2 linked regions of the Oryzias latipes genome follow. The protein of the gene in region 1 interacts with the protein of each later gene in a pairwise test. Links are inferred from orthologs where the notes say so. Each region holds a gene or a part of one and is shown on either strand. Other genes may lie near its edges.

Region 1 (3,818 bases):
TGTTGAGGTATTCCTGCGGTGCGTGAGGTCCGACAGGCTGGACGAGCAGGAGTGCTCCGTGCTGTAGCCTGAAAGCCGACGGCGAAAACAAGACGCCGTCAGTCAAACCACGGAGGAACCTCCCCGGATTAACCCCTTAAGAGTCTCATGTGGAAGCGGCATTTTAGGAACTTCAGCATCCCGGGAACAGAACCTTCGAGCCTCCCACCATGTCCTCATCTCAACTGGTTAAACTGGGTTAACAGTCACGTCGATGTGCGCGCACATAAGAGCCCTTTCATTAACCAAAGCCAAACGTTCCCCAACAAACCTGTAGCCCACAGCTGCTGTCTCTGCTGAGACAGACTCAGTCTGAGCTCATCTTACTGCAAACTTTTACTTTTTCATGAAAGACCTCCGCCAACATAACTATCACCTGAAAACCACTGGGAATGTTTTGAAAAAAGAACAAATGAATGTCCAAGCTAGTATCAAAAATGACATCTACACTTTAATAACATTCATTCATTTTCTACCGTTTTGTCCCTTTCGGGGTCACAGGCTGCTGGAGCCTATCCCAGCCACTTATGGGCGAAGGCGGGGTACACTGTCTCTGTCGCAGGGCCACAATCACACATTCAGTCACTCTCACACTCACACCTAGGGTCAATTTAGAGTTTCCAATGAACCTATGAAGCATGTTTTTGGACAGGGGGAGGAAGCCGGAGACCCCGGGAAACCCACGCATGCACGGGGAGAACATGCAAACTCCACACAGAAACACACAGAAAGGCCCCCCCCATTGAGGTTCTAGTTCAGGTCCCCCAGCCGGGACTTGAACCGGGGGCCTTCTTCCTGTGAGCCAAGAGCTCTAACCACTGTCCCACCGGTGCAGCCCTTTTATAACATGGATTCTTATTCAGGTTTTCCCCCCAAAAAATCTGTGATTTTGCTGCAATTTCCCTGAAAAAAACAACATCCTAAGAAAGACGGGAATGAAAAACTCCACCTGGATGAATCGGAGCCTTCAGAGGCTTTTCAGCATCGTGAATATAGAAACGAGAAGTTCTCATTTAATGGCTCAACAGGATCCTCTTAGAGCAAAACATGCTTAAAAGACACCCCGAAGATGCCGATGACCTGCGTCTTTGAAGAACTTTCCCCCAAAGTGTTTGATTTGTTTCAATTGTTGCAGCTTTACTGAGACACATTTGGTAAAGTGCTAAAGTGGAACGCTGACCTGAGATTTTGCTGTGCTGGCTGGCGTAACTGGAGTTCCGAGAGTGACCGGACTGGAACGCTTCTGTGGAAGAGGACTGGTTCTGGTTCCCCTCTGTCTCATCCAGCAAACCTGGAGGAGACCAGAGGAAGTCAAACACAAAGACAGGAACCCCTCGTGTCTGCAGAAGTCACTTTCTCCCCCAGCTGACAAAAACCTGAGGAGCACGAGCCCCATTCAATGAGCAGATTACTCGCAGTAATCTGATTAGTCCCAGCTAACATCTTTTTGTGGCCTTGTCAGCAGGTTCAATGCCGTTTCCTGGTATAATGAGAAAATCCACATGTTGGTGTTTAGCTTCTGTGTAGAAGGAAAGTCACAAGTTAAAGCTGGTGAACACGTTCGACCCGACGTGTTTTGGGTTTCTCTGCCTTATCAAACAGTCTGTTTCCGCAGACACTCCTGGTTTGTGCAGCTCCACCTCTGTGTGGAAACGTCTGACCCAAGAACTCTGGGATTTCCTCCCACTGTGGGGTGTGATTCAAAACACGGCACCACCAAAGGCCACATCTGTTCAAACCCGACTGCTATCTGCCGTACCCGAGCTGATGATGGAAGGCCGAGGCTTTGGGGCCCGCCCCAGAGAAACCCCCACGGCCGGTCCGGGTTCGGCCGTTCCCTCCCCCTTACAGTCCAGCTGCAGGGCGTGCTCCTGTCCGGGGACAGAGATGGACTTTGCTGTGCTTGGAGGCCTGCAGGGGGGAAAGAGAAGGAACCAGAGAGTTGATCAATCTGGAGCAGATGAAATGAGCTCGGGGGGGGGGGGGGGGGGGGGGGGGGGGGGGGGGGGGGGGGGGGGGGGCTCGGGTCAGATGAGGCCCAGTGTTGAAATCAGCGCAGCAGCTGAAGTATTTCAAGTGACTGCAGCAGTAAATGTCTGGGGGGCGTGAATGCAGAAACACGGTCCAGGACTGACAGATTCTTCTGGAAGCAGCAGCAGAGCAGAAGGAGTGAAAGGCACGTCTGCTGTTTCTGAAGAAAACAAGCCAGAACCAACTCTCTCTGGGGGTGGGGGGGGGTCATAATTACAGTGCAGATTATGGTAGCCCTGTGGGTGTGTGAGTGTGTGTGTGCATGCATGCATGTGTTTTATGTACAGAAAATATTCACACCCTTTAACTTGAAAAAAAAAAAGAAATCTGAAATATCCTTCTTCACTTTTGCACAAATATGGGCATGGGGGTTGTTTGGACCCCCCCCTCAAGAATATTAGTAATGCGGATCTAGTGTTTAGCTGTCTGTGTGCAGAAGTCTAGTGAGACACATCTTCCATCATCAATGTATGAATATACTTCCAACCTGTAAGTAGTAGTGCACATCTTATGTTTTGACTTTGTATTATCGACTGCCCCCCCCCATTCTAATCCCTTACCCCCCCCATCTCTAACATCCCACTCCATTTCTTTCTCTCTTCTTTCAAATATAATGATCATAGATAAAGTTTAGCCTCAAATCCAAAAGGGGTTTATACAAATATACTTTGTTTGTCTGAAGATACATAAACCCCCACTGTAACAGTAAAATCTGTCCAGTTTGGAGCTAAACTTGTCTTAATTGAACAAAGAAACATGGACACAAACATATTTTTTTTTAAATTCAAAACATTTAAAAAAAAAATTCAGATGGATTTTAGCTGCTCCCCAGTAAAAATCAGCTCAAATATATGGTTTCTTCTTAAATTGTCCTCAGCGACCTAAAAGACAGATGTTTTATGGAATATCTGTGCTTCTGTAACGACATTTGGACTGAGATCTTTGAAAACCTTCCTGAAAAAAGAATGAAACGGATCTCATAACTTCAGGACTCATCGATTACTCATATGATGGTGTCATTAGGAATTAAATCTGTCAAAAGCTTGTTAAAAGCTGGTTAACTGTCAATATTTACCAATCCAAAAATAAGGAACATTTTCCATCTATGGTTATAGTTAAAAGCAGCTCCAGTTTAAGTTTGAGTTGATAGTTTTTTTCCCTTTAGGAATGTTTTGTCCTTCATATCTTATGACATAAATCCAGAACATTCAAACAATCCATCAAAGACGGCGTTGGACGCCAGCATGTGGGGCACTCACCTCTTGAAACAGGGATCTCCAGACAAAAGAGTCATTCCAATGATCACCTTCAAGACAGAAACAAGTTCATGACACCTACTTCTTTGTTTCATCAGCACAGTCTCTGAAAAACGTCTGAACAGCACAGTCAATGACCAGTAGAGCCAGCACTACAAAATGGCAAACGCACTACATAGTGAGTAGGGCAGGAATTTGGACATAGCCACGATCTTCTGTGGAAGTGAAGCCATCAATGCTGATTGTTTAGGCTGAGGTAATAGCAGAAACTTTGGACAGTTTTTCCAATGAGATTAAAAACATTTGCATATTGTGCAGAAGCTCAGCTGTGACTGAGACGGTTTGATCCTCCACACAATCTCTGCTGTGCTGAGCACATTTGTTCAGTAAAGTTCATAGCGTCTGTATTACTAACCGACTTCCTGGGTTGTGCTGTTATCAGACACGGTGGTGTTTTTCACATACCTGACATGTTTGGACAGACGTCTTCCC
Region 2 (4,479 bases), on another chromosome or scaffold:
TCTTTTGTTTCCCAAAGGAAATCTCACATTATTCCACAATTTTCCCAAATTAGTCTGTATTGTCTTATTTTATCGTGGTCCATATTTACACCATTTGCTGTGATTGATGTTTTTTTTTCAGTTATTAGGCAGAAAAATAGCTGTTCCTTTTTGTTGGATGCAGCAAAAAATGGGGACATTTTGAAATAACAGATCGGGCTCAAACAATATCCAGCTGTTACTAAATGTCTTCGTTTGAAAATAACTTAAAAGAATGACCTTTTTCAGGGTGAAATCTTTACATATCTTCTGCTTTACCTTACAAAAAAAAAAACAACAGCAGAGCACCTGAGGCAGCGGAGTCTGTAATGCCCACCTGCGGCACGTCAAAGACTATTAACTGGTACATATAGTCAGGAATTCTCCATCTGAACAGGAGGAAGAAAGATAGAAAGAAAGACTGATAAAGGGAGAGAAGGATGAACACACACGGCCCCTCAGGTACAGTGTTGTATTTCAAACCCGGTTGAGAAAGAATAGAAGGGGCTTGAGGTCAATAAATCACTGCATTAGCCTGAAGCTACAAAGCTTCCTCTCTGTGTGGGATTTCGCCTCACACCATCCATGTGCAACATGAAAGCTCTGGACCTGCCACTGGAGGGAGCTGTAGGTCATCATACAAGTCCTTCTGAACCACCAGCCTCCCTTTCTCCAGTGTCAGAGTACCTGCAAAGTAGCCAGGAGGGAGAAGCGTGGGAGGAGGAGCCACTTATGTCACTGGATGGAGAGGAGGGAGGCAGGAATGAGGAACATTTCACAGATGTGGTCTGCTTTTTTCAAATCAAGAGGATGTAGAACATTATATGGCAAAATACTCCATCTGGTCCTCTCACTTTGTGCTGTTTCAATGTCGAGAACAGAGAACTGATGATTTTCCACAAGATAACATCAGTGGTGTCTGTGAATTTTGTGCTGCTTTGAGGTTTTTTTTTCATCAGGATAGAAGATTGAAAATAATATTAAAGACACGTTGTTGTGGCTTAAATGTTGTTAAGGTGTTTCCACACTGTTTTAGCAGAAAAAAAGAGCCTTCAAGTGACAGAAGAAAGAGGTCATCTTCAGTTTAGGCGTCTACATTATATCCCACTGTGACCCACACAATCTTAAAGAGTGAGACAGAACTACTGTTAACTCACAGTCTGGAACATCATCCTGGTAGTCAGAAGCCACTGAAGCGTCGTCGGAAGGGGCAGAGCGACCCAGGCTGGAACTGCGGTTATCATCAGAAACATCTTCCTCCCTGAAGTCCACTGAGAGTTGGAGAACATTTAAAAAAAGGGATGAATCAAAAACATGTGAGGATACTTTAAGGGAAGTGTGTGGCAGAATTAGCCACAGGGGGTACATTGTAACAAATGAGGATTTGTTACTTACATCGCAAGGGGAATTCTTGAGGATTTCTGTACAAAACAACAAGAAAAGATCAATCTCAAGCACTAAACTAACACTTGATTCTTTTTGTCTTATTAAGTTTATGATGGCTTCAAGAAGTCTGTAAATGTGTCATGCAGAGACCACAAAGCCACAAAGGAACAGAACTTCAGTAAGGTTTGCAGTGCAGACAGTGTCGGCTTCCGGAGAACACACTGAGACAAGGGTTTCACTTGAGTTTATGTGCAACTCCTGCTTGGAAATTACATTTTTTTTAATCATAGTTTTTTTCTTTTAAGGACTTATCCAACTAAAATCACTCAGATTAAGGAGACACCAATAAACACAACCTGGAATATTTCAGAGGTAACAAATGACGCACTGTTGCTTCAAAATGAACACCTACCTTGCATGAACGACTCTGAAGTTATTCAAAAGGACCTGGCGTGTTTTTTCAGCACTTTCACTTAGGTTCTCATCTTGAAGGATCTCAAAAATAAACAGTTCGCAATCTGAGGAGTACAACAATTTACTATGAGTTGGGTTCTCTTTTAGAGGGACAAAGTTAAAAAAGTATACCTTTAGGCTATATTATATGTTCAGACGTGGCAACTTTCAACATGGCACTGGCCTACATGTGCATTTGAGGGTTTGAAGTGTTTCATTTGAGCTCCAAGTTGAGGTTTCTTTGTGCATATTTTGATCTTGGGTTCCTATGAAGTTCACTGACTGAGAATGTTGACTCAAAGTAATCTAGAAGCCTTTTTTCATCGTGTTTTCTACTTCTAAAAGTGCTTCTTCTCTGGGTTACTACCACGTTACTTTTAAAGAAATGTGTACAACTAGAGCCATAAGAGAAAAACCAAATATGTCTTTTGCATTTAATTTATATCAACAGCAGGTTTTAAATGGTTCAAAAAGAAAATACTAATCTTTGCCAGAACAATGAGCGAATGGGTTAGTCCACATGGCTTATCTGATTTCCCTCAAATGATAAACAAATAACTTGACACATGCAAATGATCTGTCATAGGTCATGTTCCTTTATCTGGATGATTATGCAAATAAATGCCATGGTGTCACCAGGTTGGAAACATCTTTACACAATAGAGAGTTTAGGAGAAACATAAAACTGCCAACTTTTTATTTCTCTGCTAACAATCATTTTTTTAGAAATGAATTTCATATTCTCCTGATGCTTCTGGGGGAATAGAATCACAGCTATAACGCTAAAAACACAGTAGTTTTATTTTGTAAATCTGATTTGAAAAAATAATCTAATGAGATGCAAGAAAAAGATGTTACCATCCAAGAGTCTCCTGAAGTCTTGCAGGCATGTCCCCATCCCTTGCCTTTGCGTGTCCAACACGATTCCTGCCTCTTCACACTTTGATTTGACCCCAGAAAGTATTTACATTCAGTCTCTGTTCATGACCCAAACAAGAGCTAGATGCTCATCAACGCTCTCAGATCACAGCAACGAAACACTTTTTTTACTCCAACCTGACTTCCGTGCATTTAAACATTTGCACACAGTGGGGAGGAGCAGGAGCATGGGTGACTGTTTCCTGTGCAGTTTCTCTACCATCGCTGATAACATTTTAACTGGCAGAAAGGATGTTGTAAAGCAAACTGGAGTGCTTCCCATTTACAGACACTCAGGAAAGGTGCTTGCGGTAATACATTTTTTGATTAGTTAATCATGATTTCATCATAAACCTCCAGTCAATCCAGCAAGAAATCTGCAGCTACGCAGCTGGTCTTTTTACAGTTTGTTCCTCCTGTAGACAATGTCGACAGGAACAGCTCAAAGCTGTGGGTTCCATGTTGTGCAGAATGTTTTAAGCTGGCATAACAGCACCTGCACCCTCTGTCTGGAACTGTAGCTTCACCACTAGGTCTGTGGTTTGGTAATGTGTTACTGAGATAAAGAAAGGCTTTCCCTGAGAAATATTTGTCTGAGTGGCAGCAAGAATGACTCAACGATGCATTAATGGAGATTCACATAAGTGAAAGGTACCAATGTAAAGTGTGTTATGTCACGGTGTTACAGATGTTAATTTTTGGCATTAATATTAAATGATAAAAGGGATTATTTTTCATCTTTTTGGTGGAGAGAAGGCAAATCCAAAGGTTTCTTAAAATATCTTGTATTTTTTACTGCCATTTTGGGTTAAAAGAAATTAGCTACAGTTTTTAAATATGTCTGAGAGGGTTTTGGAAATGATTCATTTGTTTATTTTCCTTTACTTTCCTGAAATAACTTTTCAATAGTGACAATTTTAGCCTTTTTTTAAAACTCCTAGCTTTACAACCAACCAAGGTTCAAATCTGAATCTTCCTAGATATTTTTCTCTTGGCTAAGTTTGCTTTGTCAAACACTTTCATATTTTTACATCATTTTAAGGGAATCTAAGGTTAGCTTGGTTGGTAAAGCAGTCATTATGTAACATCAGTAACTGGTAAAGGTCTGTCAATCATAGTTACTGACTGAAACTAGTCAGTTCACATTCACTGTCATGAAAATGTTTCAACTTAACAACAACAAAAAACATGCTTACAATCTGATTCCAGTAGCTTTTTATTCTTCCTATTCTTCATTTATAAGTAGGCTATAAACTTCATAACTTTATTTTATGTGTAACAGATATCTATGGTTTTGAATGAGTATAAATTCAAGTTTTACGTTGAAAACTTACACTTTAGTCTTGTTTTTTTTCAGGATAGGGTCTTTATAATGTTACCAGTTGTACAAATGCATATATTCTGTTGTTTTTTCAAAGTTCAAGTCCTCTTCTGCATCCCTCACTTCCGGTGTTCCACAAAGCTCAGTTTTGGGACCTTTATTGTTCATTTTATATCTAATGCCTTTCCAGCACATTTTGAGTTCTTTTAACGATGTTTCTTATCATTTTTATGCTGATGATCTTCAGCTTTATGTGTCCTTTAAACCCCAGAATGTTTTTAAAATGCAGATTTTACGCAGGTGTCTGGATTCATTCAAGTGTTGGATAAATAATAATTTTCTCCGACTAAATTAAGCCAAAACTGAGGTTCTAGTCTGTGCTC

The links.
Region 2: the proteins of fam102a (region 1) and skap1 interact in binary tests that used the Homo sapiens proteins (3 or more experiments, as listed by UniProt). The two-hybrid records come from large-scale screens. The link is inferred for Oryzias latipes from reciprocal best matches to the Homo sapiens genes EEIG1 and SKAP1.

Annotation. Positions count from the first base shown.
Region 1 is NC_019867.2:32,086,425-32,090,242, forward strand, and holds part of fam102a (protein FAM102A), read right to left. Parts: intron 3,377-3,818; coding exon 3,330-3,376; intron 1,951-3,329; coding exon 1,799-1,950; intron 1,331-1,798; coding exon 1,220-1,330; intron 69-1,219; coding exon 1-68. UniProt on the Homo sapiens protein: Key component of TNFSF11/RANKL- and TNF-induced osteoclastogenesis pathways, thereby mediates bone resorption in pathological bone loss conditions.
Region 2 is NC_019877.2:19,113,817-19,118,295, forward strand, and holds the start of skap1 (src kinase-associated phosphoprotein 1), read right to left. Parts: upstream 2,917-4,479; 5' UTR 2,756-2,916; coding exon 2,716-2,755; intron 1,923-2,715; coding exon 1,817-1,922; intron 1,440-1,816; coding exon 1,414-1,439; intron 1,290-1,413; coding exon 1,176-1,289; intron 1-1,175. UniProt on the Homo sapiens protein: Positively regulates T-cell receptor signaling by enhancing the MAP kinase pathway. Required for optimal conjugation between T-cells and antigen-presenting cells by promoting the clustering of integrin ITGAL on the surface of T-cells.